Linked DNA regions of Lytechinus pictus. The protein of the gene in region 1 purifies or fractionates together with the protein of each later gene. This does not show direct contact. Links are inferred from orthologs where the notes say so. Each region holds a gene or a part of one and is shown on either strand. Other genes may lie near its edges.

Region 1 (10,463 bases):
TAACTGTGAGAAATAACATTAATTATGTACAGGCCATGGAATGAACATTAAAGTATGAGAGCTGAATATGCATTTAATTATATTTTATTGATTACATTTACATTCTGTACATATAGTGAAGACCTGAAATCACATGGATGTACAAAATGATTCCAAGGGGAGTTCAAATGCACTACTTTCCTACATGTATATAATATTGATGAAATTCTCAGTGTCATACACTACATGTATTACTCGATTTCTTATTTTTTAAAATCAAATTTACCCTCTTCTTTTACATTTTTTTTTTTACAGAGTATACAAATTTCTGATATCTTATGATCAATATGCAATTAAATGCAACAGAAATCATTAAAAAAAGTAAATAGTTCAAAAGACTAATAAAACAACCAACATTTGAAAGTACTCTCTAGTAGGCCTACTACATGTAGGCATACATGTAGGTGTACCCTTATTGGTGAATATGTACCAACATGTATCACTAGATACAGTAAGTGCATGGAGCTACTTGAATCATTATAGGTCGTGCCCATGAAAAAAAAAATTAATAAATAAAGAGAAGTAAAATTATTTTAGAAAATCCATTGACATCAGATGTAAAACAAGAGAGATGCAGGTATGGCATATAACTTTGTTTGTTTTATAGATTAGTTCCAGAAAGACAATATCAGAAATGGAAAGGCAATAAACTACAAAATACAAAGTCTGTTTCATGCAATATGCTTTAAAATAGTCAAATTCTCTAATGTCATGTGGATAGAGAACTTGTAAACAAGTGCGATAGATATGTACAGGGGTGATATTCAATCCTGAAAAAAAAATAGACATACTAAAGCGAGGAGCATTGCGACCAAGCCCGAGGGAGAGAAGCGAACGAAGGGGGGAGGGGGTATCCCCCCTCCCACGGTAGGGACTTTTTGCATTTTGGGACTTTAAATGGTGCAATTTTGTGCATACCTGGAGGGGAAATTTGGGATTAAATCTTTTGTTAGTTTTAACTGCATGTATTGTACATGTAAACAAGAACACTACACAACGTGAACTGATACCTATACTTTCGCCTTAACCTGCTCATCATAGCTCAGCTAGCTCAGTCGTCGTAAACAAGAGAACAAAGCATTTGCATGTCAATTTCCATGACCAAGATCACAATAAATAATGACAGTTTGATGCCTGCAACTGCCCAAATTCCCCTTGAAAGAAGACTCACAAGATTACCAATCAACGATATTCGTATCGCGACCCGCCTCAGTCTCAGCGGAGCATACATGTACATGAATCCCTGACAGAGAGACAGGTCTAAATTTACAACTGCAATACATCTAGACAAATATTCATTAAAAAATCTGATTCAAAATAGTGGAAATTTATTGAATTTCAGGAATCTCATGTGACGGCTGTGAAATGCAGCCTTTCTCATTAAACTCCCTGAATTGTATGTACATGTACACTGTACAGTGAATGGGTGCGCATCATTTTTTGTTCAATCTTAAAATGATTGGCCAAGGTTTTTTCCAAGAAATTCATATAAATATATTTCTCTCAAATTTTCTTTTTTGCACACTCACTAATAAAAATATAAGGAACACTATCAACTGAATTTTCGTGACTAAAAAGGAAAACATGTTTAATCTTACAGTTGTAAGTTAAATTTTTAAGTGCTCAGAAATGGCCTATGGAGAACCCCTGAATTGTTTAGACGCTTGACTCTCCAGCATACATGTACATGTATCTGCAAATTTGACCTGAAATTGGAGTACTTTTAATAGACCTTGCATTATCATATATGCAGGCTTGCTAGCCGCGCCAACTTTCTTAAAAAACAGGTACATGTAATATAAATAAGAGGGGCCCAATGTCTGCATACCTGAATTATTTAACTTAAGATAACATGAATTTTTATCATTTCACTAAAATTTTAAGTTGATAATATTCCTAAAGGAATGTAGGACACTTTTATGAATAAGTGTGCAAAAAATCTCATACAAACTTGAAAGAAATAAAATATTTTTTTAAGGAAAAAAAACTCTGCCAGTCATTTTCAGATTGAACAAAATAATGGTGCCCCATGTATGCGCACCCATTCACTTTACATGATTCAGGGATTTTGATGGGAATGGCTGCAGCTGCATTTTGAGGTCGCCACATGAAATGCCCGAAATTCATTAATTTTCCACCATTTACAGTCAAATTTTTTAATGAACATCCTTCTATGTATTGCATGTGTACAGTTTGTGGTCATCGCGTATCTTCTTTAGTTTACTAGAATCGCGCAGATGGGCAAGTGCGCAGACAAATGACAAGGGGCACTGTGCTTTCTTAGGGGACCTTACCATTAGGGGGCTCAATTACAAGGTAATTGATCAATTATGTAATTAATTAAATTTTTGAGTAATTGTAATTTTGTAATTGAAATTTTGAAAGGTAAAGTAATTTTTTTTTTAAGTAATTGACATCAATTACGGTACTTTTAATCACATTCAATTTACTTTACAATAAACTTACTTAATTTATGATCTAATTTCATGACGTTTTTCATGGATCAAGTGCTTCAGCATCAGAGTGTAGAGGGTCTACATGTAATAGGCAAAATCCGTGCTCTTTACATAATACATGTATTACCTGCATCTTGTCAGTTTCTTAACTTTCTCTGTAACTTAGAATTGTTAAATAGGTGGTGCTAGTACCGTCTGCTAGTTCATACAGAATACATACAATGATATACATCCTGTATATCATTTATGACTTTATAGAAAGTAATTGAAATTGTAATTGACAAAATGGTAGGCCTGACTGTAATTGAAAAAAAAAGTAATTTCATTGAAAAGTAAATTGTAATTAAACCCTGCTTACCTTACTACTATTTGCCCTTTTGAGTGTTTTTTTTTTTTTGAAGGACTCCAGAGTCCTGTGAATTCATTAATCTAATCATGTTGAAATAAAATATGAGATATAGGCTACATGTAGATAGATTAGAGTCTAGATCAGCATGTGAAAAGGGTTGATCATCATGTTCTATCAGCTGGACATGTTCTCATATTAGTCTTGTCTGTCTTGTCTTTCTGTTAATGCCCACAATCATTATATTGATTATTATGACATACCGGTATAAACGTCAAGATTGACTTGACCTGACTTTTTGCCGGGACATGCAGGTGCAATACACCGGGTGCACACCCTACGCTTTGAAGAATAGTGTACTACTACTACTACTAGTACTACAGCCTAGGCTAGAGGTCTAGTATTGCCATATTGGTTTTAACGTGCATAGGTTGTGACTCTCGGCTATAGGCCTACCCAGGACCACCATTTGCATCCTTTCCGATGGACTGAGTGTTTTCCAACTGCATTCATACCTGCACTGGATACAGTGGATGAGTGGTAATCATGCTAGTAACACACAATGCTATACTTAGGCATGATAGGCTAGCATCAGATTTTTTTGTTAGACGCGTTTCGGCATGAGCGGGACTCAAACCCTTGTCATCACGACTCACGTTGAGATCTACGATCTTATCCAAAACATGCGCTCTATCTAAGTCTAACCGACTAAGGCTAAGCTACTCTGCCTCCATTCACTTCAATTTCAGCTCGAATATGCATATTATTATCTGTAAAATCTCAGCTCAATACTGTACTTCATTATTTTGGTTTTGCATTTCAAATTCAAAGCCACTGCCAAGAATGTTATTGTTAATGTAGTTAAGTCTGTTAATTATTCCATTTCCCATGTTTCCAAATGCAATCTGGTAATTGCATTCTCCAGTCATATAATATAAAATACAATAATTTAGTATGCCTGCTTTCCAAATTCTAAATCATATCCACCCAATCCAGAATTCCAGGTTAGTGAGTGAGGTTAAAACAATGAATGAATGCCAAGCTGAAAAACTAGCTGCACGCTCAAACTCAGTCAAAGCCCGGCCAAGCGGACGTGTAATTTGTTAATTAAAACGATGGAATTTACCTGCATGAACATGCAAAACCAACAATATATCAAAAATATTTTCAACAAATTCTTAAACAAAATCAAAGAACTTACAGTGGTGGCACTTTTGCAGGTGGATATCAGGCGGGGTTTGATGCCCATTAATAGAAACAAAGGGTTTGAATATTTTCATCACGATTACTTGTCTACTGATGATGCCGCCATATTGAATGCCTTTTCACTCTATGTGACCTCCAAAACAGGGAGATTTAAATGATAAAATGTAGATCCCCAATCTTTATGGAAATTTTTTCTACTGAATAGAAATAGGCATAAATATGATTTTAATGTGTCATTTATTTAAAAGATATACAGGAAAGGATGTATATATCATATATTTTATATTTATTAGCTCTATTTTATATTTCTGCTCTTCCGCGGATGAATCTTATGTTGTGAACGGAGCGACCCTTTTTACTATATGTTCATAATACTACATTTGGAGAAATTTTCTCAAATTGGTATAACGCCGCATCATATTCGGGAATCTTCATTTCATTTATCTTTTCATCGACTGTTCTGAACATGGTTTTGTCGTTATTGAGGAAAAATTTGTCTATTTATATACTCACAGGATTGGTTTTCGGTGCATTGACAAGGGTATTTTCTGGTGAAATATACTACGAGTATTCGCTGTATGTGCTACACTGAATGCTCTATACTGAGGCCTGGACGTTCACAGCAGAAGCGACCACGCATGCTGTCTATATACAGTACACAGGGCCCCACCCCCACATTCAAAACAAGGGCGGTATCGACTATTGAGCAAGGCTAGAAAAGTCATTTGTAATATAATATGGAGATAAAAAATAAAGTCTATTATATGCGAGATGGTTCGTCGTTGCTTACAACAGTAAGGCCAAAATGGTATGAGACCAAAGAGTTACTCCTGATGATTTGTGTTCAATTGCTTCTTGATATAATACAGATGGGTTTTTTTTTATTATAGTCACGGGGTCGATACAGACCTGAGAACTCCGACTGGCCGTCAACTTACTCAAATATTGTTGTAATGTAAAAATGCTATTGAATACCTTTTTTTACCCTTAATTTGTGGTTGAAATCCTTTTTTTTTTATTGCTTGTCAAATTTTTTCGGGTACGAAATATCCTTAATTTGTAATTTGTCGTTGAAAACCTGTTTTTTTTTTTTTTTTTTTTTTTTTTGGGGGGGGGGCTTGTCAAAATTTTCCTCCGAAAAGTTTGCCCCCCCCCTTTTGGAAAATCCTGGATTCCTGGGTATATAAAGCAGGTGCGGTTCTAGAATGGGGGCTTTGGGGACTGACACCCCTCCCCAAAAAAAAAAAATCAACCACAAATAAGGAAAAAATAGATAAATGTTGGCCCTGAATAATGTAGAATTCCATATACGTTTATTTATTTATTTATTTATTTAATTAATTATCTATTAACAATATTTCAACAGGATGCCCAATCAACGTAAAATTGTTCTCCCTTTGGGTCCTGCATATTAAAAACCAATCAAAATATATCTTATTATACACAGTAAAATTATCATGAGAAAAATATACATACATATCATGATAGAACATAATAGTTGAAGTCAGATATAAACAAAACTATAATTAACTACGCACATCATTAGAAAAGAGGGAGTATACATACATAGACTATAATAATTGAAATTGACATCGGAGATATTTAATATTGGAGAATCAAGCTGAAATTGCACTTTTATATTATCTTTTAAATATTTCTTAAAAACTGAGAGGGAGTTTATCTTTTGAGGTTCAGGTTGACTATATTCCATAATAAGACGGCTTGATGATGAAATGAGTGTTTGAATGATTCAATATGACATTTTGGGAAGTGTAACTTAGTTTGAGAGGAATTTCTTGTGCAGTATGAATGATTTATTTCCTAAAAGTGGTTCACATGAAATGGCTAAGGCTTGATTTTTCGTTTTGTTAATCATTTTCAAACTGGAGAAAAGTGTGGAGAAACAAGTTGTACAGGAAACATGAAATGTGGTCCCATGCACTTTAAATGATAAAACTTTGTTAAAGAATGCTGGAGGTGCCGAGTCTGAAATAAACTTTTGTTTACACTCAGATAAGTCCTCAGATCCAGCTGGCCCCCAAAAAGGTAAAGGTTGTGTTTACCTCGGGTTACAGTGTTAATTTCCATGGCAAAGTTGTTACAAAATGTTTAAATGTATCTGTTTTATTTGAATTTGCTAAAATGCAAAAGAAATGCATAGAAAATGTACTGCACAGTCAGTTTGTTTTCGCTCTTTTTCCCTTGACACGGCTTGAAAATTAGCATTTCTGCATGCCTTGCGCAAACCGATTTCTGCGAGCTTTACAAAAATGGACATTGCTCGCTCAGTCAAGGGTAATATTCAGTCAAAAAGTTTACTTTCATTTTTTTTAATAGATTAGACCCAAACTCAAAAATATACGTTAAAAAAATTATCCCCATGTTGCATATTTTTCAATACCCAGGACTATTCCAAAGTGTAAACTTTTTATTGATACGCGCTGTAAGGGGCCCTTTCACAAGTTATGCTTCTATGGGGGTCCCAAACCTATCATGTCTAATTATTTTTTTTCACACTGTGTTAACATGTTTTTTGTTTGGTTGATTTAGATAAACTTGAAAACTTTTCAACCCAATGTATGAATGACGACAAATAACTTCGTTCCTTGTTATCAGATTTTGATGAAATTTTCTGCGTTTTACTCGGTAAAGTCATACTCTTTATATTTAGATATAATTATTTTCAGCCCGAAGTACCCCTTTAATGATCTGCCGTAGACGGGAGAGCCGGCAATCATCTGGCATTTTTTGGTTGGCAAAAACAAGAAGAAACAAAAACGGAGATGAAGGATAGAAAGAAGACATAAGAAAGGGAAAATATTTTAAACATCTTTTTAGCAAATTCAGAAATGGGAAATGAGTCTTTGAAACAGGATCTCAAATTTTGATCAAGATTTATGCCCCCACCCACGGGATTTAGGCCCGTGAGAATAGATATTATAAGTTGGCACGAATATTAATCCCTGGGTAAAGACATGCAAGATTTGTTTTCTGAATGTGTTAGAAACTGTATTACCATAGTAATAGCATAGGATATGTATTAATCATCTTAAGTGATATTCCTTTTCTGCGTCTTAATTATTTCGCTTTTCTTTTCTCTTCGTATTCAACATTAAATTTGTCTGGAAATTAATTTAGTGTTTTTTGCAAGCCATACATGAATATATATATATTGACTTATCATTATTTTTTTCCAAGAGCCATAATCCATGTTATTACGAAACAACTTCTATCACTAAGGGTTTTTACCTTTTGGGTAATGTGACAGTGACCCACTGAAATTTCACCCATGCAGTAAAAAGCTTTAAAAAATCATCAAAATTTGATAATAAATAACAAAATTATTGAATTTTGAATTTAATCAATATATTGTAAAAACAAATAACGAAATTATTGAATTTTAAAGTGAGCAATATTTTATGAAAACACTTAAATACATTCCGTCATGTACATAAATGTAGGTGGACTGATGGTGTTACGTCCACACCTTCATATTTCTAATGTTTGAATTCATTACTATTTGTAATAAGTTCAAGCAATTACACATTCAATCAGTAATTTTTCAAAATTCTTGGTGGACAAAATTTGAAGAAAAAAAAACATAATAATAAAATACAGAATGGGAACATAACAATATCAGCTTTAAAATTGCATATTCATGAAGACATGCACAGAACTGGCACCAAATTAATGTTATAACTTTGTTATGCTATTTCCCCGGTGTTTTGTTTCTCTGATTTTACTTTTTATATATATATATATGTATAGATAGATAGATATATACCGAGTAGCCATTTTAATCCAACACGTACACGAACCGCGAGCCGAACATAATTTTATACTGATCCGAAGAAGGAACGTACTGTTTGACACGTAATAATAATAATAATGATGATGATAATAATAATAATAATAATGATAATAATAATAATAATAATAATAATAATAAGGCCCATATGGGTTTTACCGGGCTGACTGGGGCCCGTATGCCCCACATGAATACCACATGGGACCCAGATTCAAACAGATATTATCCCAGACCCACCCATATGGGCCCCGGTATGGGCCCAGGTATGGGTCCCAAATATATTATTCAGGCAATTCTGATGAGCAGAAAACATCCAGAGAAACACCTCTGGGCTTCACATGGGCCCCATCTGTGCTGTTCTGGGCAAGCTCCAGATGGAATTCCTCCCAGAATAACACATGTTGGGCCCACATGGTTCCAATATGTGTTTTTCTGAGCAATCTCAATATATACTGAGAAATCATCCCAGAAAAAAAAACACATGTGGGCCCCACTTGGGCCCTATACATGATATATGTGTTGTTCTGGGCAATCTCCAGATGTAAATCTCCAGATGTAAATCTCCAGATGTAAATCTTCCTAGAACAATACATGTTGACCCCATATGTGTTGTTCAGGGCAATCTGAATTGATTATCCCAGAACAACATATTTGGGCCCCATATGTTTCGTTCTGGGCAATCTGAATAGAGATCATACAAGAACAACACATATGCCCCCACATGAGACCAGTGTGTGTTGTTCTGGGCAATATCCAGATGGAAATCATCCCAGAACAACACATATGCCCCCACATGAGACCAATGTGTGTTGTTCTGGGCAATATCCAGATGGAAATCATCCCAGAACAACACATATTGGCCCCCTATGTTTTGTTCTTGGCAATCTGAATAGAAATCACCTCAGCCTGTGGGTCCCATAATATTCTGGACAATATCTAAATAGAAATTTCCCAGAACATCACATGTGGGCCCCACTTGGGACCCGTATGTGTTGTTCTGGGCAATCTGGATAGAGATTATCCCAGAGCATGGGACCAATGTTTGTTGTACTGGGCAATATCATTAGTCACTAAAAGAAGATATTAACAGACGCCTTTTCATGTCAGTACAAAGTCCCTTTTAGTGATCATAAAAACTGCTCTGAATTTTCATTTTTCCTGTTTAAATAATCATATTATAGGCCTAATACATGAAATGTCAAAAAAATTTGATCTCACGCTTTGTACTCTCATTTTTGATGTAGGCCTCATGATTATATTTGTAAGAAAAAAAACTAAGATGTACTTAAAACTTAAGTCTTTAGTTTAGGAATTATTAGGACCACCCTGAAAAATAACAACAAATATCAACTTTAAGTGGCCGATCAGGGAAAACGTGAATAAAATGTTTTTTTCCCTGCCTGCCCACTCCCATTGGCAAAAACTACACCCGCCTCTGCATAGTTTATGTTCTCTTAAAGTGATAAAAAGAAGTGTCACCGGTCACTATCTGTTCAGCATACAACTTTAAGGATGCCTTATTAACAGTAAGCCGAACATAATTTTATACTGATCCGAAGAAGGAACGTACTGTTTGACACGTAATAATAATAATAATGATGATGATAATAATAATAATAATAATGATAATAATAATAATAATAATAATAAGGCCCATATGGGTTTTACCGGGCTGACTGGGGCCCGTATGCCCCACATGAATACCACATGGGACCCAGATTCAAACAGATATTATCCCAGACCCACCCATATGGGCCCCGGTATGGGCCCAGGTATGGGTCCCAAATATATTATTCAGGCAATTCTGATGAGCAGAAAACATCCAGAGAAACACCTCTGGGCTTCACATGGGCCCCATCTGTGCTGTTCTGGGCAAGCTCCAGATGGAATTCCTCCCAGAATAACACATGTTGGGCCCACATGGTTCCAATATGTGTTTTTCTGAGCAATCTCAATATATACTGAGAAATCATCCCAGAAAAAAAAACACATGTGGGCCCCACTTGGGCCCTATACATGATATATGTGTTGTTCTGGGCAATCTCCAGATGTAAATCTCCAGATGTAAATCTCCAGATGTAAATCTTCCTAGAACAATACATGTTGACCCCATATGTGTTGTTCAGGGCAATCTGAATTGATTATCCCAGAACAACATATTTGGGCCCCATATGTTTCGTTCTGGGCAATCTGAATAGAGATCATACAAGAACAACACATATGCCCCCACATGAGACCAGTGTGTGTTGTTCTGGGCAATATCCAGATGGAAATCATCCCAGAACAACACATATGCCCCCACATGAGACCAATGTGTGTTGTTCTGGGCAATATCCAGATGGAAATCATCCCAGAACAACACATATTGGCCCCCTATGTTTTGTTCTTGGCAATCTGAATAGAAATCACCTCAGCCTGTGGGTCCCATAATATTCTGGACAATATCTAAATAGAAATTTCCCAGAACATCACATGTGGGCCCCACTTGGGACCCGTATGTGTTGTTCTGGGCAATCTGGATAGAGATTATCCCAGAGCATGGGACCAATGTTTGTTGTACTGGGCAATATCATTAGTCACTAAAAGAAGATATTAACAGACGCCTTTT
Region 2 (10,211 bases), on another chromosome or scaffold:
TGCCTGTAACCAGCCATGCACTGACTGATCCATTTCTTGCAATTTTCTTTTACTGACATTGCTGTTGTTTAAAGCATTTAACCACCCATGCATGACTGTTCACATGAAAATGTCATGTCATACTGGAAGAGGAATATTGTCTGGTCATGTTGACATACAATAATTTGCCTTTAATCAAATATCTATATGGAATATTTTAACTTTTTTACGTGTCCAAGAACTTTTTTTGCTGAGTGTACATTAGTAGTTTGGATGATTATCAGTCAAAACTAAATTATCTTTGTCATCCTTTCCTCTCAGAATTCTGCTTATGAAAGGGATGCAGGGTATGGCATACTTTAACTCTTAATTAACATGCCACACCTCATTTATATTAAAAAATTGTAGATTTCCTTTTTATCATAAAAATTCTTGCTTGTGCCATATAAGAAGTTGATCCACAGACAATGAACATTCGGGGACTCGTTTTTTCCAAAGCCTGTATAGCTGGCATTAATTATTTCGACTGACCACAGGCAGGGTTATTGGGTTAATTTCCCTACCCTAACCTCAATGTCATGGAAAAACTATTCTTATGATGATCGACCCCGACTCGGACCTCCTACGATTTAGTATGGAGTGACTATCTTTGAGATTGTCAAATGATAATTACAAGGTACGAAAGAATCGATGTTTCCTATAATACAAGCAGGGGATCCAAGATTTTCCAAAGGGGGGGGGGCAAATTTTTCGGAGAAAAATTTTGAGAAGCAAAAAAAAAAGAAAGAAAAAAAAGGGGTCTTCAGCCACAAATAGAGGATATTTCGTTCCAGGAAAAGTTTGACAAGCCGAAAAAAACATTACATTACAAATTTTTAATTTTGCTTCTCAAGGAGGGGGGGGGGGGGGGGCAAGTGCCTCCTATGCCCCCCCCCCCTGGATCCGCGCCTGAATACAACTAAACATGATTACAATTATAAACGAAGTTCAGCTTCGTATTGGAGATTACATGCCACGTTAGGCCTACTTTTGGCAATAATAGCAATTCTATATATAGAGGTATCTATAACATCCAAAGTAATTTCCCCCTTAATTAACCCATCAAATCTTCCAGCAGAATTATTTTAAAATTAAATTATTCAAACGAAGCATGGGAAGTTAGGAAGCAGCCTTCTAAAAAATAAGTGGTATTCATGACTTAACGGCTGAATAAAATTAAGCAAAAAAAAAAAGAATATTTTTCAAAAAGAGCAGAAGGAATAATGCTTCCCATAACAGCTTAAAGACTGGATCATAAATCTTGTCATCATTATGCAAATTAATGTTAGTTGGGATTTTTTTTTACCAGACGGGGGAAGGTGTTGCATGGCACTCTGCTGCATATCCCACCACCAACATGACCAAGAGGAAGTATGTTTAAGGGTGCCATGCAGGGGCGGATCCGCGATTTTCCAGGGGGCACATTTTTCCGAGGAAAAATTGACAAGCAACAATAAATGATGCGAGCTGAATTTTTTTTTATATTCAGACCAGAAAAAGGGACATTTTAAGGACGGTTCTTAGGAGCAGACGAGCAGACGTATATCTCACCAATCCAAAAATGTGAACATCTGCACGGACTGAAAATGTTTTATATTGAGACCTTAAACGGGGGCAATCACTTCAAGTACTCATGTGTCACTACATAAAACAATATTAACTCGAAGCGTGAGGAAATATATGTATTTGGTGTATCAGCCTACTGACTTGAAAATTTGAATTTTTAGTACATCAGGATTATAAACAGACAAAATAGAGCACCAGAAATGATTTGTATCAATTTATGTATGAATTTGTAGCAATTCATATTTTGTACTTCTTGTTATGAACAAAATGCTGGCAATTGCCAGTGAAGTTCTAATAAATTCAATTCAATTCAATTCATATTTTTACTTACAAAAATGTTATGAAAACATATTTCTTATAACATAATAAATATAATATACAATAATTTCTTCTTCCCCAACTAAGTTTTTCTGTCTTTCTCCCCATTTTCTCCCGTTTTTTCTTCATTTTATTGGCCAGCCGATGGGGGGGGGGGGGGGGGGACGTGCCCCCGTAGCTACGCCACTGATTCAAAGAGTATTAAATACGAAATTTCTGTATAAGGGTCCTATCGACGACTGACGGCCATGGAAAGAACATATAGATAATACGTGTAAAACAATTTCACGAAATATTGGAATTACAAATAAATTTAAATTCTACTTCTCGACTCGTATATTTATATTAAATTTGTACTCTTCTCCGACCCCCCCCCCCCCCGCATTTGAACTTTGGTATTATGGCACGGTGTGTTTGTGCTGATTTTCATTATTTTGAATAGACTTTTACTTTCTCATTATCGGGCACACACGAATGTTTTTATCAAAACTTATTCTATTCTTACGATACACGATCTTTATCTTTATCATGATTATAATCTTGGATCATTCATGTACAACTTTAATAAAACGAACTACCAGATGTGTTTTTTTTCTATGTTTACAAGAAATGAAGAGTTAAGTTGCAAAAGGGGTTAGGTCCACTTTGGACCATTCCGAGAAAAAACATGTTTTTTTTATTCTCACTTACTGTAATACTCTTATGAGAAACTAAATTGTCATGATGTACTACCCTATCATGTGAACATAAAATTGGGTATAAAAGAAATCTACCTGTCTTCATTTTTTCTATGTATTCTTTTAAAAATTGTCATTGTGGACCTAACCCCTTTTGCAAGTGAATCCAATCTATTTTGATTAAAAAAGTGATTTTTCTTTGTCACTTTTATTCATGTTTTCATGTGAATTTCAAATTTTCTTTGTTTTCATCAGATCAACTAAAAATTTAGAGGTTTTGAGACAGAAAACAATAAAATTTATGAACAATGGACCTAACCCCTTTTGACAAATGAACTCTTCAGAAGAGTTTGTTTGCAAAAGGGGTTAGGTCCACTCCAAGAAAATCATTTTTTTTTAAATTCTCCTGCAATAAAATTCTTATGCGAAACTAAGTTTTCATGATTCCTTACCATGAGAACATAAAATTGGGTATAAAAGAAATCTACCTGTCTTCAATTTTTTTATATTCTCGTCCAAAAAAATTTGTGTGGACCTAACCCCTTCTACAACTAAACTGAAATGGACCTAACCCCTTTTGAAAAAAAGTGTTTTTTTCGTTGCCATTTTAGATCATTTTTAATGGGAATTCGAACATTTCTTTGGTATCATCTTATAGAGCTACTAAAAATCTATACATTGAGACAAATAAAAAAAAAAAATCAAATTTGATGAAAATGGACCTAACCCCTTTTGCAAGTGAGCTCTTCAAATATCAATATCCATCACAAGATCTGCTGGACTTTTCCATTTACCTAGAACAAGAACATTATTTACCAACAAACTTTTCATATCCTCTGGCATCAAACTTTATTGGAACTCACTGCAAGCTTTACGAAATAAGCCTATTTACAATTCAAAGTTTCAATAGAACATCAGCGGCGTAACAGGGGTCGGTGGCCAGAGCCAAAAATTTCCCGGTCATATCATGGTATGAACAGGCGTAATGGTGTAATGGGGCGACTATTAATTTTTGAGAAGGCCAGATATTGCGTATCGGGCCAAATTTATCTTTAAAAAAAAGTTGCGAGCGAGCGAAGCGAGCGAGCTAAAATTTTGACCTTTTTAATTCAAAAATCAAATTTTGTGATAGATTTTGACATGATATCCAGTGAATAATATATTTCACTTTTCTCTCTTTAGATTCCTTTTGTGTGGTCTGTACGCCACTGTGAACAGGATTCTTTGCGGCAGTAGCGTGAAGAGTAAAAAAAAAAAAAAAAAAAAAAAAATGAGGGCCGCGCAGTATAGCACATGTGCTAAAAAGCTGCTTTCTATAAGTCCCGAGCGAGCGAAGCGAGCGAGAAAAAAATCACCTTTTCATGAGAATCTAACTTTGAGCTATTTTTTGACATTATAATTATTCAGTAAATAAAATCATATCCTACACTTTTCCTTTGCTTTTCTTTCCTCCTTTTTTTTGTTCTTGTTTGTAGAACTTTTTGGAGCCATGGCCCAACCCTTCCATACGCAGTGCTGTGTGGGTGGGGTCCGGGGCGGAACCCCCCGGAACTTCTTGATATCAAAGCCATTTAAACCTCGCAGATTGCCGCTATTTCAATCAAATCGCGGGCATATACAGAATATAGCTTATACACAACACATTTATTCAACCCAGTTGCGTAATGAACCAAAATATATTTTGAGGGGGCAAAACATAGCAAAGTGGGAAAAATTTGTAAAAAGTCCCCAGCGTGCAAAGCGAGCTGGAAAAAAATTGCCTATTGAAATTAAATTCTAATTATGTGATAGATTTTTCCATTATATTCAGCAAATAACACAGTTCATTGTTTCCATTCATTTCATTTATACGTTGTCTCCTATAATTTCTTTTATTTCCTCTTGGGCGTGGAACCAAGACCCCCCTCCCCGCGCCTGTATGCGAATGATTGAACGTGATTGAACGGGGGGGGGGGGGGGCGTTGTAGAGCCATTCGAAGGTTATAAATGAGAAGCCCCTACTGCGTGGGGTCTGGGGCAAAGCCCCGGGGGAGTGTTTCATCAAAATTTTCATCCGACAAGTTGTCAGATCTGACATCTTTCTCTGATGTTGATTGGCTGAGAGGTACTGTTACTATGGTAACTGTCGGATAAAATTGGACTTGTCGGATAAAACGTCTGACAAGTCCTTTCATGAAACACCCCCCAGGTAGCTTATTTGCATAAAATTTAGCAAGCTTATAGCACAATGTTGTATGCAGTCCATTTTTCTTCCCGCTCTTTAATTTCAATCATCGGCAGCCCGGTCGTGTTATTATTTTTTTTCTTGTCCCTTTTCTTTGTTTTCCAATTTAGCTTTTGATTAATTACATTTTACCTTCGTTTCCCGCTATTTTTTTGCCATTTTGTCATCCTATTTCCCACCATGCTATTGCATTACATTATAGGCCTATTTTGGAATGATTTGTTCTTTCTCAAATGTTCTTCTTTCGTACATTTTCCCGCTTTCCTTCCTTTTCCATTTAAAAAAGAAGTTTTTCTTCGTTTTCTTTTCACTTTTCCCTTTCCCTTTCTTTTTCCTCCTTTCCTTTTCCCCTTTCCTTCCCCTTTCCCTTTCTTTTTTCCTCCTTTTTTCTTTTTCCCGTTTTTCTTTTATTTTCCCGGTGAAATCCGCCAGGGGGGGGGGGGGCAGCTTGCCCCCCTGCCCCCCCGCCTGTTACGCCACTGTAGAACATTTGAAAAAAAATCTCACTAATAATCATACAGTCTACTTAGGATTTTTTTTCTGCTCTTCCATATTCTCCCACTCCGTCTCAATTTATTCCTCTTCTTTTCCCGTTTGTGTCTCTTTTCATTCTATTTACCCGTGTATGCTTATTTTTTTTGTTCTTTTGTTCTTTCGTTTGTTTGTTTTCTTTTACTCATTTTTGGTCCTTTGTTTTATTGTTTTTGTTTTGTCTGTTCTTGTACTATTTTTATGTCTTGTTCTTGTATAGTTTTTGCCATGCCTTGTTTCTTGTACAGTTCTGTTACGTCTTTTTTGTTGTTGTAAAGTTCTGTTTCGTGTGTCCCCTTTTCACTTTTTTTTTGTCATATCTAAGATACTTGTAATATTATCCAGCCTTGTTTATCTTTTACTTGGGAGAACATGACAAAAAAAAAATCATATTTTAAAAGGATCTGGATCTATATTTGATTTCTACAAGAAAGATATGATGATTTGTTATTTGAACTAGTGTTAATAAGCTTATTTCTTAAAGGAAAACTCATACTAACAAACTTTGCTTTTCTAAAGGTTTTTATTTCATTTCATTATGTATTATGATTCGGTTTACTTTGTAATTCTGTTGAAATTTTAAAATGAAATAAATTTGTTATCAATTAAAACCTCAAATGACAAGCTCGGTCACTTTGCTCCCTCTCTTTTGAGTATTTTCCAATAAAGTTTACGCCCCCAGCGAAAAACTGAGTTTCTGGGCGTGGGCACTCACATATTTATGTCATAAATGGGTATTTTGGTGCAATTATTTCACTATATGGAGATTATATTTAATCTGCGAGAAGCAGAAGTTGTACAAAAGAGAAAAGAGAATAATTGACAAAAAAAGAACAAAAAGAAGAAGATTTCTCACCACAAACGTCGCACACAATAGTTTGCGATTTCGATTGATTATGTCCTACCTCGCCTTCCATAGATCATCGGCGCGCCATCTTCATTCCGCGCGAACAAAAACCTAATTTTGTGAGAGTAAGAATGGCGTTTTCTTCTCGAAAATTGAGCTAATTTAGTCATGGAAAATGCGATGGTGGATCCAGAAAATGCTCCTGTGCATTTGGAATTCTTCAAAGATGTCCATTACTACCTCATTGGAACAATTTCAGAAGAGGTAATTTTTACATTATTTCAATTTTCATTGCAGTCCCGTATGTGTCTATCCCCGTTACTACATGTAGGATGGGGGGTCGGGTGTCCGGACACTTTGCATTTTTGAAGCCTTCTTTTTTGTCTTTGGATTACACTAAAAATACGAAATCAATAGTTGTAATCATCTTCTATTTGGTTCTTTATAATATTTCCTGACATTTTGTACTAAAAATTGATAAAACTTCCCTTGTAAATTGTTCCAAATGACTTTCTAAAATTGATCGTCCGGACACACAACCTGTCCGGACACACAACAACTGGGTATATAGTCACTTATTGGGTGATTTCAAGTTCGGTGTTGGGTGTTGGTGTTGGTGTTGAGAGCGTAAAAAGGCCGCTGAACCGAGCTCCAACACCGAGCTGGGTTCAGAGGAATGATACCGATTGCGTTATCGATAGTACATGACGTCACGCCTATGCGCTGCCATGCTAAATCATCTCAACTTCACGCGAGAAGTCTCGATGACGAAAATGAAATCGGAGAGAAATGCATTAAATTCTCATCTTACACTTACAGAATACCATTACCAATGTTTTAATAAATTCAAGAATTCGAAAGAGTGAACATTATTCTTCATCAAAATATATACAACTCAAATGATTTGTACTCATCTGTAAAAACTAATTTTATGGGGATGTTTCATCGTGTTCGCTGCCTCTCCACGAGCTTGAGATTGCCAACACCAACACCAACACCGAACTTGAAATCACGATTTTCCCAATCCCTGGGGGTTGGTGTTGGTGAATGGGGAAATTGCACGTAGATCGTCAACACCAGCCGCAGTGCTGGGTTCAGCAGACGACATTCAAGTTCAACACGAACTGCCGGAAATACGTCATATTTTCCGAGGTCAATCCCAACACCAGCTTGATTTCAAGTACGGTGTTGTGGCTGGTTTTGGTGTTGTCACAACACCAACACCAGATTTCAACACCGTACTTGAAATCACCCATTGTATTACCAGACACTATCATTATTCCGGACGCGCATATTACTGCGTTTGAAAACAATTTCGTACCGTAAGACTTCCGCAGTTCAATTTCACAGAGCAATACATAGAACAAGATTGCAAAAACAAGGCGGAAAAATCCAACTTTAACCTTATTTATCACAAAAATGACAGAAAATGCTTAAAAATAAAATATCATAATCATATAACATAGTTTTGCATTAACAATTTAAATATTTTCTGACGGAAATATGGGCCTGATTTGCCGAATGTCAATCTCGTCCGGCTCCTTCGATCGAATGATGAGGTGTGGTGTATTGTGGGTAATTGTCGACGGCTAGTTCTCAAGGTACCCGTGCGCGAAGGTTTACCGTGAGTCTTCTTCTCCTGGAAACAGTACAGTCCACCGTCTGGTGTATTGTCGTACTGAGTCGAGCCGTCGACGATCGGCAGCGCATCGATAGAACTTGATGAGCGTCACGATACGAACGAGCATAATATTGGAAAGTGCTATGGAAATTGCAGCTAACAAGAAAAAAATAAAATCAGTTATCAAACACGAATTTATTACCAACATCTGCTCAGATTCGATATGAAAAAAGCAAACAAAAACTTAGAATTTATGCATGATGTGATATATGAAGAAAAAATCACACAAATTCTTTCTTACATCGATTATAATGAAGAATATCTTTACCCGTCCTAATAACTGTTTTTCAATTACTTTTTTTCTTTCCAGGGCTCTTTTTGGAGAAACTTTCCAGGGCTACTTTTTCATTTTCCAGGGCTCTTTTTCCACTTTCCAGGGCTACAATTTCTGGAGCTATTTCGCGGCTTTTTTGCGTTTGTGTGTGTGTGTGTGTGTGTAAGGGTGTGTGTGTGTGTGTGCCACATTGAAGGGATGCTGGTCAGCAGTGCAGGGCTGCTCTGCTGCAGGCTCTGCTTTAATAAGATGTAATGTACATGCGATCGCGACGAAGCTTCGAAGCAGCGCGGCGCGAGCTAGCGAGAAGTACGTACCGGTACCATCTCGAATTCATAGGCACATGTACCACATGCACTATTCACGCCCGTAAACAGAGATTCACAGGTAAGTTCTCTTAGCTGACACGATCCTATGATGGACTCGCGTGCGCTGAAATGAGCAATGTTATTGTGCCACTGTATCTTGTATTTGCTTGTGTGACTCTGCGGGCAGCTCCGCGGTGATTTACGTACATATATACGTGATGTTCGCAACTGCAGACGGGCAATGAGTTTGGGATTTTGTAGCACAATTGGTGTGCGCGTAGGAAACAGCTCAAGATTGTAATATAAGCGGTCACACGCAAATGCAAACAAGTACACATTTAAATGCAATATAATGTATAATGTATAATTTAAATGCAATCACGTACGTATGCATGAAATGCTACATAAATATACAGTGTTGACGGGAGCGATTATGAGTTTTGCAGTCGCCCTCGTGTGAATGTTTTTAGCCCTTTTCCGGGGCTCTTTTTGGACTTTCCGGGGCGAATTCGCCCGCCGCCCCCGTGTAATTTTTTGGTTGGTGGAGGGGTATGCGACAAGTGCGAGGCAAAGAAAACGGTTGGTAAATATAAAATGATTTTATCATATTCATAATTTTCATAATATTTGGAATAGCAAGTGCAAATTTTTCTTGATTGTATTAACTCTAGTTGTCATTTTTAAAGCACTGAAATAAAGGTGTCCAGTAATACAATACACTGCCATACATGTAAGTGATTATACATATACCCAGTTCAACTTAGTCTTGAGGACGCAATGATGATGACTTTTAAAATAATGAAATATACTTCTTCATCATTGACTTCTTGAACAGGCCTTCATAGACGTGTAAGAGAACGAAGTAAACAAAGATGGATTTCCCTAGGTTTATCCATCTTTTGAAACCCAAATCACGTGAAGTTTATGAATTTTATTGATTTTTACACCTTCCTATATACGCCCAATGCGTAAGAAGGTTTTAAAAATTATGATATGAAAATGAAGAAAATAAAGGTTTCTTACCTAACTGATGCCGTGTAGACCCCTCGATCAACATGTAAACAACGGAAATACAATAGCGTCGACCCTTGAACCGTTTATGTATGACAGACTTCCGGCTAGCAATGCCGTTCTGACGAATAATTTATAGAAAAAAATTATTATTTTACAAATATTAAAATTCATTACGTAATTATAAATAATTATTAACAAATGGGCTTTTGACCTCAGTGAGACAAAATTTTGGGTGGAAAAAATTATGCTTTTGTTGGTGTTGTTTCTTTTGTTCTTTTGTAAAGCCAGTCTCTAATATGGGAAATTATCTCCCACATTGGAGAGAGTCTCCCATATTGGCCGTGCGCCTCTACTGTTGAACTTTGATTGAAGTGTAAGTTTTATTCTTTGTTTGTCTTTCTGAAAAATGATGATATAAATTACTCTTGTTGATGATTAGGCTAATCCCAACACCAATCAGTTTGGACCATGCTTTGGAATCGACGATATATTCTCATTTACTGCAAGACTCTTTGAAAAATCGTCAGAATGTATCAGGAAATTTGTCATTATCCTCAGAAGATGCCATGAGCCTAATTACATCAGGAGGGCTAAAGATATTCGTTCGACCCAACCCATTCGAAATTTTTCAATTTGATATTGCTGATTGACAAAAATGTATGAATATGATTCAAAATCTAACACTGATTCTAGAAATGGTAACTACTGAACTTCCTTTGCCCAAATTGGGAAGATATATCAATGATTTGGCAC
Region 3 (10,668 bases), on another chromosome or scaffold:
ATCACAGAGAATACATCAGTACACCAAGATTGCATGATCCTAGTGTACCCAGTATCATAAATGTATCGCTAGAAAAATGGTATTGCAGGCTTAGTTTGAATCATAATCAAGAAAATCTAATGTTCAGTGAGATGATATGAAACAATACCCGTAAAAAAGATGGATGGTTAGTTGAGTGGTACAGGTACATATGCTTCTAACGTATTTAGGGAATCTGGAAAAGATACCCTCTCCGTATTTTATTTCATAAATGGTCATATCATTCTAAAAAAACAATCCAACATTAAACTTGTTATTAGAATATTATCTTGCTAGACTACAGCATAATAGCTTCGCTGAAATTTACCCCCAAAATACCTGCATAGAATATTCTCTTAACTCTCTTTTTAGCTGTCATTATCTTATCAACCTCACCTGTCATCGTCTTCGGAGTCGTAGCACTCGGACGAAGAGTCCTGGTGCTCCGACGATGACTCCCCTGACAGACCATCCTCTCCAAAAGGAAAGTCAGCATGAACCCAACTATAGCTGTCATCCTCCTCCTCGACTGAAGAAGCTCTTCGCTTCATTCTCAGCTTCTCAACTCAGATCCCAGCGACAAAACAAAACAAAAAATCCTCAACTTTTGGAGGAACAAGTCTTTAAGGTGCTCCAAAGTCTTTCAAAGATTCTTAGATAGATGACAGAATGGGGATTTCAAAATGATTCGAGACCCATGACGGTACGACTTGAAGAAACGGTTTAGTCTTTGAATTCTTTCAAAATGCACTTGAGTGAGATAGACATAAAAAGACGCACACGACCATCACAATGAGCCATATAAACAAAGGGGAGGCGTGAGAGATAGTACCGGTACACGTGGAACGAACGACAAACTTTGCGTTGGAACTGGAATGCCGGTAGGTAGCAACAGACAACGCTCAGCTGTTCTGCTGAAGATTCAGAATGGTTTATGGACAAGAGACAGCCAAGCAGTGACTAATATACCACACCGGTTGCTGGCTGTCAGCGTTCCAAGCCAACACACGAGTATACAGTACACCCATCCACAAGTGCACACACAGATTCAGGCACATGCTTGGAATGCACACACTCTGATGGAGAATATCACACGTGCGGTGAAGGCTCGTGAGGTTGATCAAGAGGACAAGAGTATGAGAGGAAGAGAGAGTAAGAGAGAGAAAGAAAGAGAGGATGATGGCTGGAGAAACAAGAAGACAGAACTATACACTCCTCCACGTGAGTGCTTGGCTCATAAATTATCTGTGACGTCGTTAGCTATGCTGTCACTGAGCGAGAGAACGTCATTCTCTCTGTACATAGTAGCGGAGCGTACGTGACTAGCTGGCTTTACTAAACAAAGATAGCCTGCCCAAGACAATGCCAATTTCTCCGCGGAAAAAGGGAATCCCTCCTAAAAACTTATGAAAATGTTTTTTTTTTTTTTTTCTCTGAACCAATGTTTATTCAATGACTTTCTCCTTATCCTTGGCTTTCTTACTCACCAAGAATCTAGTACAAAAAAAGATAACTTGATTCATAAAAGAAAAGAATGAATATTTAAAAATTGGACATGGCTCATGAATAATTCTCTATTCTTAATAATACCTTACGAAGCTTGTATATCAAATCTCTACAAAAAGTTGATGGTATTTGACATGATCTAATAATCTAAAATAAAACTTGACATCATACCAAGCTACATGTACATATAAAAGTTACCAAATAAAGTCTTAAAAAGCCATGTTTTATAACAGAAGATTACGGAAGTAAAGTATCTGCATACTGATGGACATATTAATTAATCCTTTATCCTTCAAGAAACCCTCCAAAAGATTGAAAGCACAAGAAATGACTAAATAATCTAAAATTAAATTGAAACCATTTCAAAAACGATGAAGAAACAAGAATTCCTACAAAAAGGCTATGGTATCATGACTACATGTAGGCCTTCATGACATTCAGGCCCTCAAATTAAAGATCTGTGATGGATTGCTAATATAAAAGAACGATTCTGATTGGTTCCTGGTCAGTGCTTTGAACAAAATTTGTATGCAACAACGATTCCGATTGGTAGTAAGCACTGACAGTGATTGCAAACCATGGAGAGCTCTGTGGTTAGACCACTTGTTGGGCATCATCTAATCTTACATGTGAAGCTATCCAACTCTGTACACAGAGTGAAAGGTAAAGACACCAACTGACCAGACTGACCTTGTCCCCAGTCAGTGGTCATTCTCTCTGATTGACCAGTGGCCTAACTGTGACCTCGTGCAAGGTCAGATAGGGTAAGAAACAGGTGGATGCAATAACCCAATTTTTTTTTTCTACCCTGGAGCAGGCCAGTGAGGCTGGCTAGACATTCCTATTACACACAGTCCAGTAATCTCTGGTTCTGGGAGTAGTCTCCCTTCCGCAGACACTGTTTTACAGCTATCTGTAAACAGCTGTACAGAACAGGGGCACCATTTCATAAAGGACTTGCAACTGTTGTACCTTTGTCATTATGGCAACTACCATGGTAACCTTGATTTTGATTGGCTGCTGAGCCCTGTTGCCATGGTAGTTGCCATAATGGCAAAGTTACAACAGTTGCATTTATGAAACGGCCCCAGATGTGGATTGGTCTATTCAGTCATCTAATAAATCATGCAGCAAATAATTAACTTAATTCCCACTAATCCCCACACATGAAGAATCAGCCATCATCAGCACAAAAGAAATTGAAAGATTGACCAAGCAGCTGAGTGTAAATGTAAAAGTACAATCAGACAGGCCTACTGTAGTTAGAAGAAAGTAAGTCTTCATGTACTCATAAAAAAAATAGATGGAATTTTGAATTCAAAGTGAATTTCAACATTTACATGTAGCTCAGTTATAAATAATAGTGCATACATGTATGACTGGTTTTCAAGGGAGGGCTGAGTGGGATTATGACATTATGATGATTCTTATTTCCATATTCAGAAAGAGCAAACTGATTCCTTGAGAATCCTTTGGGCCCGTATTCTGAAGTCATGTTTAACTTATTAATAGACCAAAGTCTAACTCTCTGCCAAAAATTCAAAATTCTGTTTCTCTTACGTTTACTTTTTTTTTCCAGTTGCTTTCATAACAAAGTAAATTACTTCAATTATCATTCCCAGACAATTATGAACAATTTGAGTGTCAAATGAGTTAATAAATTGGATGTGTACTGTTAGGGATTGTACCCGAATTGGCTCTCCATAGTTAAACCACAACTTTAAACCAGAGTTTAATTTAAACCCGAGTTCAGAATACGGGCCTTTGTGTTCTACCAAAACAAACTTGCAAGCTCTACAAAGATTTGTTTTTTATCAGTTACACTTTAACTGATAATAGACACTATAAGACTGTATAAACTATGACTAATTCAGTCAGTGTCAATAACAAATAGTTTGGAAATGAGTTACGCCTACATGAATGTATTTTTGTAGTTTATGGTGTGGTGTACACAGACCCATCAGCTTACTTGCTCAAAGAAATATCAATATCTAGCAAATTCCTGATCAATATTCACACAAGAGATACCACTATTGCACTTGAAAAAGCCTACATGTATGTTGTATTAACAAACTATTTTGTTAAAAATGGACAGAACTTGAGCTTACTTGCTCAATGAAAGATCAATATCTACATACATGTATGTTATTGTTGCTAGCAAATTCCTGATCACAATACACAGAAGAGATACCAATATTGTACATGAAAAAGCCTACATGCATGTTATAACAAACTAATTTGTTAAAAATGGACAGAACTAGCACAAAAGGCATGAACATTATATTATGTCTTACATGTATCAAATACATGCCCAAGCGCTCACAGCACTATTATACAGCCTATAAAAAATTGTCAGGTACCGGAGTACTGAAAACTATAGGCCTAACTCTTAATACACACTTCTGGAGAACTTGATGCGCCCCTTCAGTGAAATGAATATATAATCCAGCGCAAAAGTGTGGGTGAATCGGTAGATAGAACTTGACCAAGTTTCAAAGTTTGAGCACAAAGAAGTTTGGAGACTAGTAGTAGGTTCTACAACTCTATTTACCCCACATGTACATGTAGTAGCAGTGTATGCCTCCTGTAAAGCCGGAAAGGCATGAACACTGAAACGAAGATTGTACACAATAACCACGTGCAGATGGCAAGAGACCCAAACAGATCAAACTCCCCCTATACAGTACATACCTAGTTATTCTAGTAACTCCTGACTCCCAAATGTAGCATAAAGTCCAGATATCTTTCCAAGATCACTCCACAGAAACAAGTTACTGTCCAATATATATTTCCAATACACCTGGGTCAACAGGAAGTGGTAGAGGGGTGTAAAAACGCACCCCTTGCATGTGCACTCTTCTGGTATGGGTGCGTAATTAGCCCCCCTTTCTGACTTGAATGTGTACCCCCTATTGATCCCCTTGTGGTCTGCCAAGCCTGTTGTTTGAGATGGGTCACTCTACAAAAAAGGCACTGCAACAATAGAATGGAATTCAGACCCGCTAGTCTACTCTTTTAGACCCTGGTGGGTGTTTCATAAAGCTGTTCGTAAGATACGAATGACTTTACGCACGACTGGTTTTCCTTTCTTGTGCGATGTCATATCCCTATGTAATTGAGTTATGACCTAAGAACATGTTCCAGTCATGCGTAAAGTCGTTCGTAACTTTACGAACAGCTTTATGAAACACCCACCAGGGTTGTTTATGATTTGGATAGGAGTAATACATGTACGGTGTATCAACTGCATCATTATGGAGGCTGGATTCCATGGTTGGCTTTCAAATTTCAACCTACATACAAAACACATTCAATCTGTTTTATGTGAGGGATCAAATGCTTATATGAAACAAGCAGGCAAAAATAAATACAAATATAATGACAAACGACTTATCTATAGCTTTTCACGTACGCAATATCTTATCATTCACTTTCATATCCTTAAAATACATCTTAGTCAGATGAGTCAAGGGTTAAATTGTGAATTCGACTTCGCCAGATTCATCTCTTCTCTGAAGAAGAAAAAAAGGTTCAATAACAATTATTGAATTGACTCAAACATTGTTTATATACCAAATATGACTAAATACTAGAAATTGAAATTAAATGTCATTTTTTTAATGCTATCTCAATTTTCAAGCACCCCATGCCCCCTTCTTTACCCCCTTCCCGTCTTTATTGGAGATAACAAAAGCTATACATAGGACTTGTGATTCAGGGCATTGGCCTTTCCGTAGTTATGAACTTAAAATGAACCCAGCGACATTTTATTTAGTTTTGTCCTATGTGATACAATCAATAGACCACTTAGCTGAGAATCAATACATAGTACAACATTAGATTTAGTTCACCTTTCCAAAATCAATAACAAAAGGTCATAAGTGACACAATGAAAGACAACAGGAAACAAAATACTACAACCCAATGCCTCATAGATGATTGGTTGAGAAATCGAAGGGCGGTGACCAACTTGACCCACATATTTGAATATATGGTCACAACTGACATGCAAAAGAATGTACATTAGATTGCTAGTTCTTTACATGCATTTTTCATGAATATGAGCAAAACTTTGAAAATCCAATTTCGATGAAATGTTCAGCATGACGCTTATTTGTTTTAGTTTGTTACTTTGTTTTAACGTCCAAATTTACTTTTTGCAAGGGAATACTTCTTCAATTGAAGGTTTTGTATCTTTGGATTGGGAGAGGGAAAGCATTCATTGAATTCATATGGGAAAAATTTAACCTTTTTATTATTTTTTTTGTGTGTGTGTTGACTGTTGACCAAAAGTTTACAACAAACAAATGTTTATTTCCAATTGTACAAATAAGTACGAGAGAAACTGATTCTTCATTCCACATAAGATTACAAGACATCACACTGAAAATGGCCAGTAGAATACTCAAATTCCTGACTTTCATTTCAAGCTGGAAAACAGAAAGAATGTATGAAATAGACTAGCCACTTCATCTTCTCCTCAGTGGTCAATATCCTCAGAGCAAGAGGGACTGACGCTCAAAGTCCTTCTGCATCTTAGCAGTCTATGACCCCTGTTACATCTGAAAGTTTCCTACCCGAGACCCGACCGAGTCCACTTGCAACCTTGACTGGATTATTGGTGGATTAGCTTCGCGAACAGACTGAGTCCGAAATGTGGTCTGTTTACATCACAGCGTTCATTCCATCCCCTATCGGTACGGTTTCGAGCAGTATCCGATTGCTGACACCAAAGGGCGCTCTCGATCTATAGGCTCTGAATAATTTGCGCGCGCTAATTGAAGTTGTTTACATTTCGTTACACTCGTCGGCTGCTACACAGAAATGACAGGGTGGGACGTGTGCCGATCATTTCCAGAGAGAGTCGAAACGACTCTTTACCTTTACCCGAGATTTAGGAAGAATGCTGATGATCCCAGCAGTCGTTGAAGATATGATCGACTTGAAAAGGATACGTTTAAAATGCTTCCTTCTTTCCACTCAAATCAAAGACTTTATCAATCACAATTCACATGTCGCATGCCGCAAAACATTTGAAGAACGACGGGGCTGGGGAGAGGATAGCGCGCGCTATGACGTAATTTGACAGCTGGCGAACGGACCGAGATAGGTTCGAAAGCTTGTGTGCGTTTACATCTACGAATCGGTGGACCGGGGCCGGCCCGATACCTACCCGAGACTACCTCTGGATGTGGTCTCGGGTAGGTTCGCTAAAAGGTGGCCCGAGGTAGGTTTGGGATGTTTACATCTGATTTCTTTCCGACCCGAGGTAGGCCCCGGGCCGGCCCGAGGTAGGGAATCTCTCAGATGTAACAGGGGTCTAAGTAGTGGACAAATAAGGAATAAACCACAAGATGTACACAGTAGCTGACATCTTTGTAGTCTCGGCTTGTTGAAAATGAAACTACACATTCCTAACGAAACCTGGATTGAATGGAGAGCAAGCTGTGAGCTATTTGCTTTTCCTACACAAAGCAAATGGCCATCAACATACCAGTCCCTTTAATCAGGACTGTGTTCACCTATGAGATTCAAAATATAAAATTAAGAGAATATATATACATCTTTTAGTATCACTATTCTGCATTTGAACAGCACTGTAACATGTTGACCATCCACAGCATGCAGGAAAAACAATACCAAAAGTCCAAAATACATTTGTTTTGTTGATATAACTAATTTTTTTTGTAGAGGGACTTGACCGTTGTAAAGAAGGGTAAAGATTAATATCGAAAGTTGTCTTTTTTAGTGTGGTGTAGTATTTGGCTATAAAGGTCAAGTGTGTATATTGAAAATATCACTATTCACTGTTCATTCATCTAATCATGTATTATTGATTCATTCATTTATATATTCATCAATTTATTTATTGATTCTGTCTTACTTTCTTTTAATTTATGCATGCATTCATTCATCCATCCATTAGTTGTCTATCTGTACATTCATTTAAGAATCTTACTAATTAATGATCTATTTCTATCTATCTATCCATCCATCCATCTATTGATTTGAATACCTTGTTATCTTTCTATTTTTCTACAGTCCATCTCAGTATAGAGTCAAATGGATATGAACTATTCTAGCTGAAGCATTTTGAAATGGTAGCACACTACTTTTATTTTAATGCCTTTTCAATAAAATTCTGCACTGTTTCATACAATCACCAGTTCACATGGAACAGGCACGGTCCACTTTACGAAAAGATTCAACTCGGCCTACGAGACATTAGTGAAAGGTGATTCAGACAGCGAAACAAGGCTCAAAAGCAAGAAGAATGCACCTTGATGTATGAGAATTAATATCTGCATCATTAACGTCAAAGAACAAAATCTAGAAGCATTAGAAAGTACATGTAAAGGTGGGCTTTTAAAGCATCAACAATGAAATCAAGACGGCAAAGACTGGATGAATTTTTGATGGTTTAAATACGTGGGAAGAATAATTTATTGATGCTATCTTTTATTTTTCTTCTCATTCATTCATAATGCGTAAAACTATTTTCAGATATGAGGTAAATCAAAGAGAAAAAAAAAGATTTTTGCCTCAATAAATAATGATTTAATGGCATTTCTTTTTTTATTTGTTAATATTAGTGGGGTACTTTATGAGCTTGTTAAAAAATTGTGATTATCATTTTCTTTGGGTGTGTGTGATTAGTATCAGAATTTTCAACAATAACAAAAGCAATCAATATGAGAGATTCTGGCAAAGGGGTTCATTCTTTACCACACTTATATAATTGTGAAAGATTTATACATTGCTCTGTAAATCCCATTTTCACCATCTCCAATACCTACATTTTGTTTAAAAAAAAAAGATTCAAGCATGCAGCCAATAGCAGTATTGTATACGAATCTAATATTTTATCATGCTTTTATTCAATGCAATCACAATCATGATCCTGTGATGAGGCTTTTCGCAGTTCATATAAGAACTGTGTACATCAGGCGAAACATAATTTTTATTTTCATTTTCGGGGGCTACTTTTTCACACCTTACTGCCTAAATCTGCAATGTTGGATAAGCTTTAACATTGCAATGAATGGGGATTTCCTGGGCTCCTTTATTTTAGTTTCAAGGGCTGTTCTGAGTATTTAGGGGGCTAAATCGCCCCTAGCCCCCATGTAATTTTTTCCCCTGGTGTACACTCAAGTTGATCTGCACTGTGGTTAGGCTTGTATATAAACTGGCCTGCATTGACTATATTGTGTAGGCCTATGCCTTTTCATTTTCAATTCAAGTTTGTGATTTTACTAGGGTGTTTTTAATGCACCCCAAAACCCCTAAACGTGATTTATCAGTGGTTAAATTTACTTTAAGTTTCTACCAGTTGATTACAGGGGCTACAGAAGGAGTGGACCCTCCTCCCCCCACATTTTTTTTCTACAATGTTCATAACCATGAAAATTACAATTACTTGTTGCTTTTTCTTCTTGGTCAGGCCCGCCCCCCCCCCCCCCCCACCCCCAACTTTCAAGATCGCTCAGCGACCCCTGCATTAGTAATACGCAAGCAAAGAGTGTTGGCCTACATGTTTGTGTTGGATGTTGGAAGGGGGGGTGCCCACCAACTGACCTGACCTTGGATTTCAACAGGGGGTCAGCGAGTAGAAGCTTGACCCCTGCATCCCTAGTAACAAACAAACGAGTATCCATGTTAGTCTTTAAAACCCAGACCCAAATCAAAAATACTGCAACGGCGACATTCTACTTTCTACGCACCTAGACCTAGTTTGTGAAAGAAACTACATGTATGAGGAATACTGTAAAACACTATTATGCCTCCAGCATCATCATTTTTATTGCGCCAGCCCATCATTGTTGAGTCAAAAAGATATGAAATACTTCAAGACAACCAAAAGCAAATATGAGAGTGAGAGAGGTGGAGAAAGGAGGAGACAGCCAGAGAAAAATAATGCATAACAATCTAGATGCATCTGTGATATAGCGTCTTTTTAATGTGATGCAGCCAACGCTCGTCAGTGGTTCCCTATTCCAGTTTCTTTTTATATCATTATGGAAATATACATGTACTACACAAAGTAGGCCTATATATAGCCTCCTGATGGAATAAATCTAGCAAGAGTTTAGAAAACCTATCAAATGAAAAATTGCATGAGCCACAAACACAAATCTTCATTCTATTTCTAGTACCTGAAATAGCACTCTAATTCTGTTAGAAGTGACTATGGGTGGCAATTACAATGTATATGATAAGTGTCAATGTTGTGTAAATCATTCAGTATATATATATATAACTTCCGTAGCTTATGTAAATGCTAATGTTATGTAAATGTTATGTAAATCAATAAGCGTTTATATCAAAAGAAGATTAAATGTTTGTAACATTTTAAAGGGAAGGCCATCCCGATAAATTTGCTACATGTAGGCCTATACTTTCAATAAATGATGGAAACAAATGAGAGAGAATTTGAGCAATTTCCAATAAAAATCAGTGATTTTTTTTTTCATTATGAAGTTGTTATAACAAAACAAAAAGTAACAATATCTTAATATGTCATATAGCCATACACCTGTACAGTAAAATGTAAAGTCCTTTTAAACATTGAATATGATACAATTTGGCAATTGATTACATTGACCCTACATTATATCAACTGTTAAAATCAATTACATACATGATCAATCACTACGCTTTGTGATAACTGGATCAAATGATATACAGTACATGTAGTTCATAGTAAATCATTTTGAAGATATAACACAAAGCAAAGTGCTTTAAATTTAACTTCAATTAGGCAGCTGAGATGAGGGTCATTGCACTTTAAATTTCTCCAATAACGCTTCTCATACATGCTTGGCTATGTTGTTCTTTACTATTACATCACATAATACTGTGAATGGAATAGTATTCCAGCAAAAATTCAATACACAATGACTGATGTCAAAGGTCAAATGGGGAGTACTTAAATTATTCATTTCGAAAACCACACACACTCATGTGGTGGCTAGCCATCAATCATCTACTATTAAAAGATTTATTGGGAGTAGTCTATGAAGTCAAACCTCAAAATAATCCTCTTCAATGCCAAACTCAAGTAGTTGCAACCAAGAGTAATAGTGCATTGCAAGAAACTCGCACTGAATTTCAAATCAAACGTACATCCCAAAAATAGAGAAAGTT

What was found.
Region 2: the proteins of histone-lysine N-methyltransferase 2C-like (region 1) and PAX-interacting protein 1-like purify together in Homo sapiens (affinity purification with mass spectrometry; 4 studies listed by BioGRID and IntAct, with this or other methods). This does not show direct contact. The link is inferred for Lytechinus pictus from reciprocal best matches to the Homo sapiens genes KMT2C and PAXIP1.
Region 3: the proteins of histone-lysine N-methyltransferase 2C-like (region 1) and lysine-specific demethylase 6A-like purify together in Homo sapiens (affinity purification with mass spectrometry; 3 studies listed by BioGRID and IntAct, with this or other methods). This does not show direct contact. The link is inferred for Lytechinus pictus from reciprocal best matches to the Homo sapiens genes KMT2C and KDM6A.

The regions. Positions count from the first base shown.
Region 1 is NC_087247.1:18,253,381-18,263,843, forward strand, and holds the start of histone-lysine N-methyltransferase 2C-like, read right to left. Parts: upstream 4,178-10,463; 5' UTR 4,043-4,177; intron 1-4,042. UniProt on the Homo sapiens protein: Histone methyltransferase that catalyzes methyl group transfer from S-adenosyl-L-methionine to the epsilon-amino group of 'Lys-4' of histone H3 (H3K4).
Region 2 is NC_087250.1:1,164,644-1,174,854, forward strand, and holds the start of PAX-interacting protein 1-like, read left to right. Parts: upstream 1-6,250; 5' UTR 6,251-6,349; coding exon 6,350-6,445; intron 6,446-10,211.
Region 3 is NC_087260.1:15,815,519-15,826,186, forward strand, and holds the start of lysine-specific demethylase 6A-like, read right to left. Parts: upstream 4,458-10,668; 5' UTR 4,216-4,457; intron 1-4,215. UniProt on the Homo sapiens protein: Histone demethylase that specifically demethylates 'Lys-27' of histone H3, thereby playing a central role in histone code. Demethylates trimethylated and dimethylated but not monomethylated H3 'Lys-27'.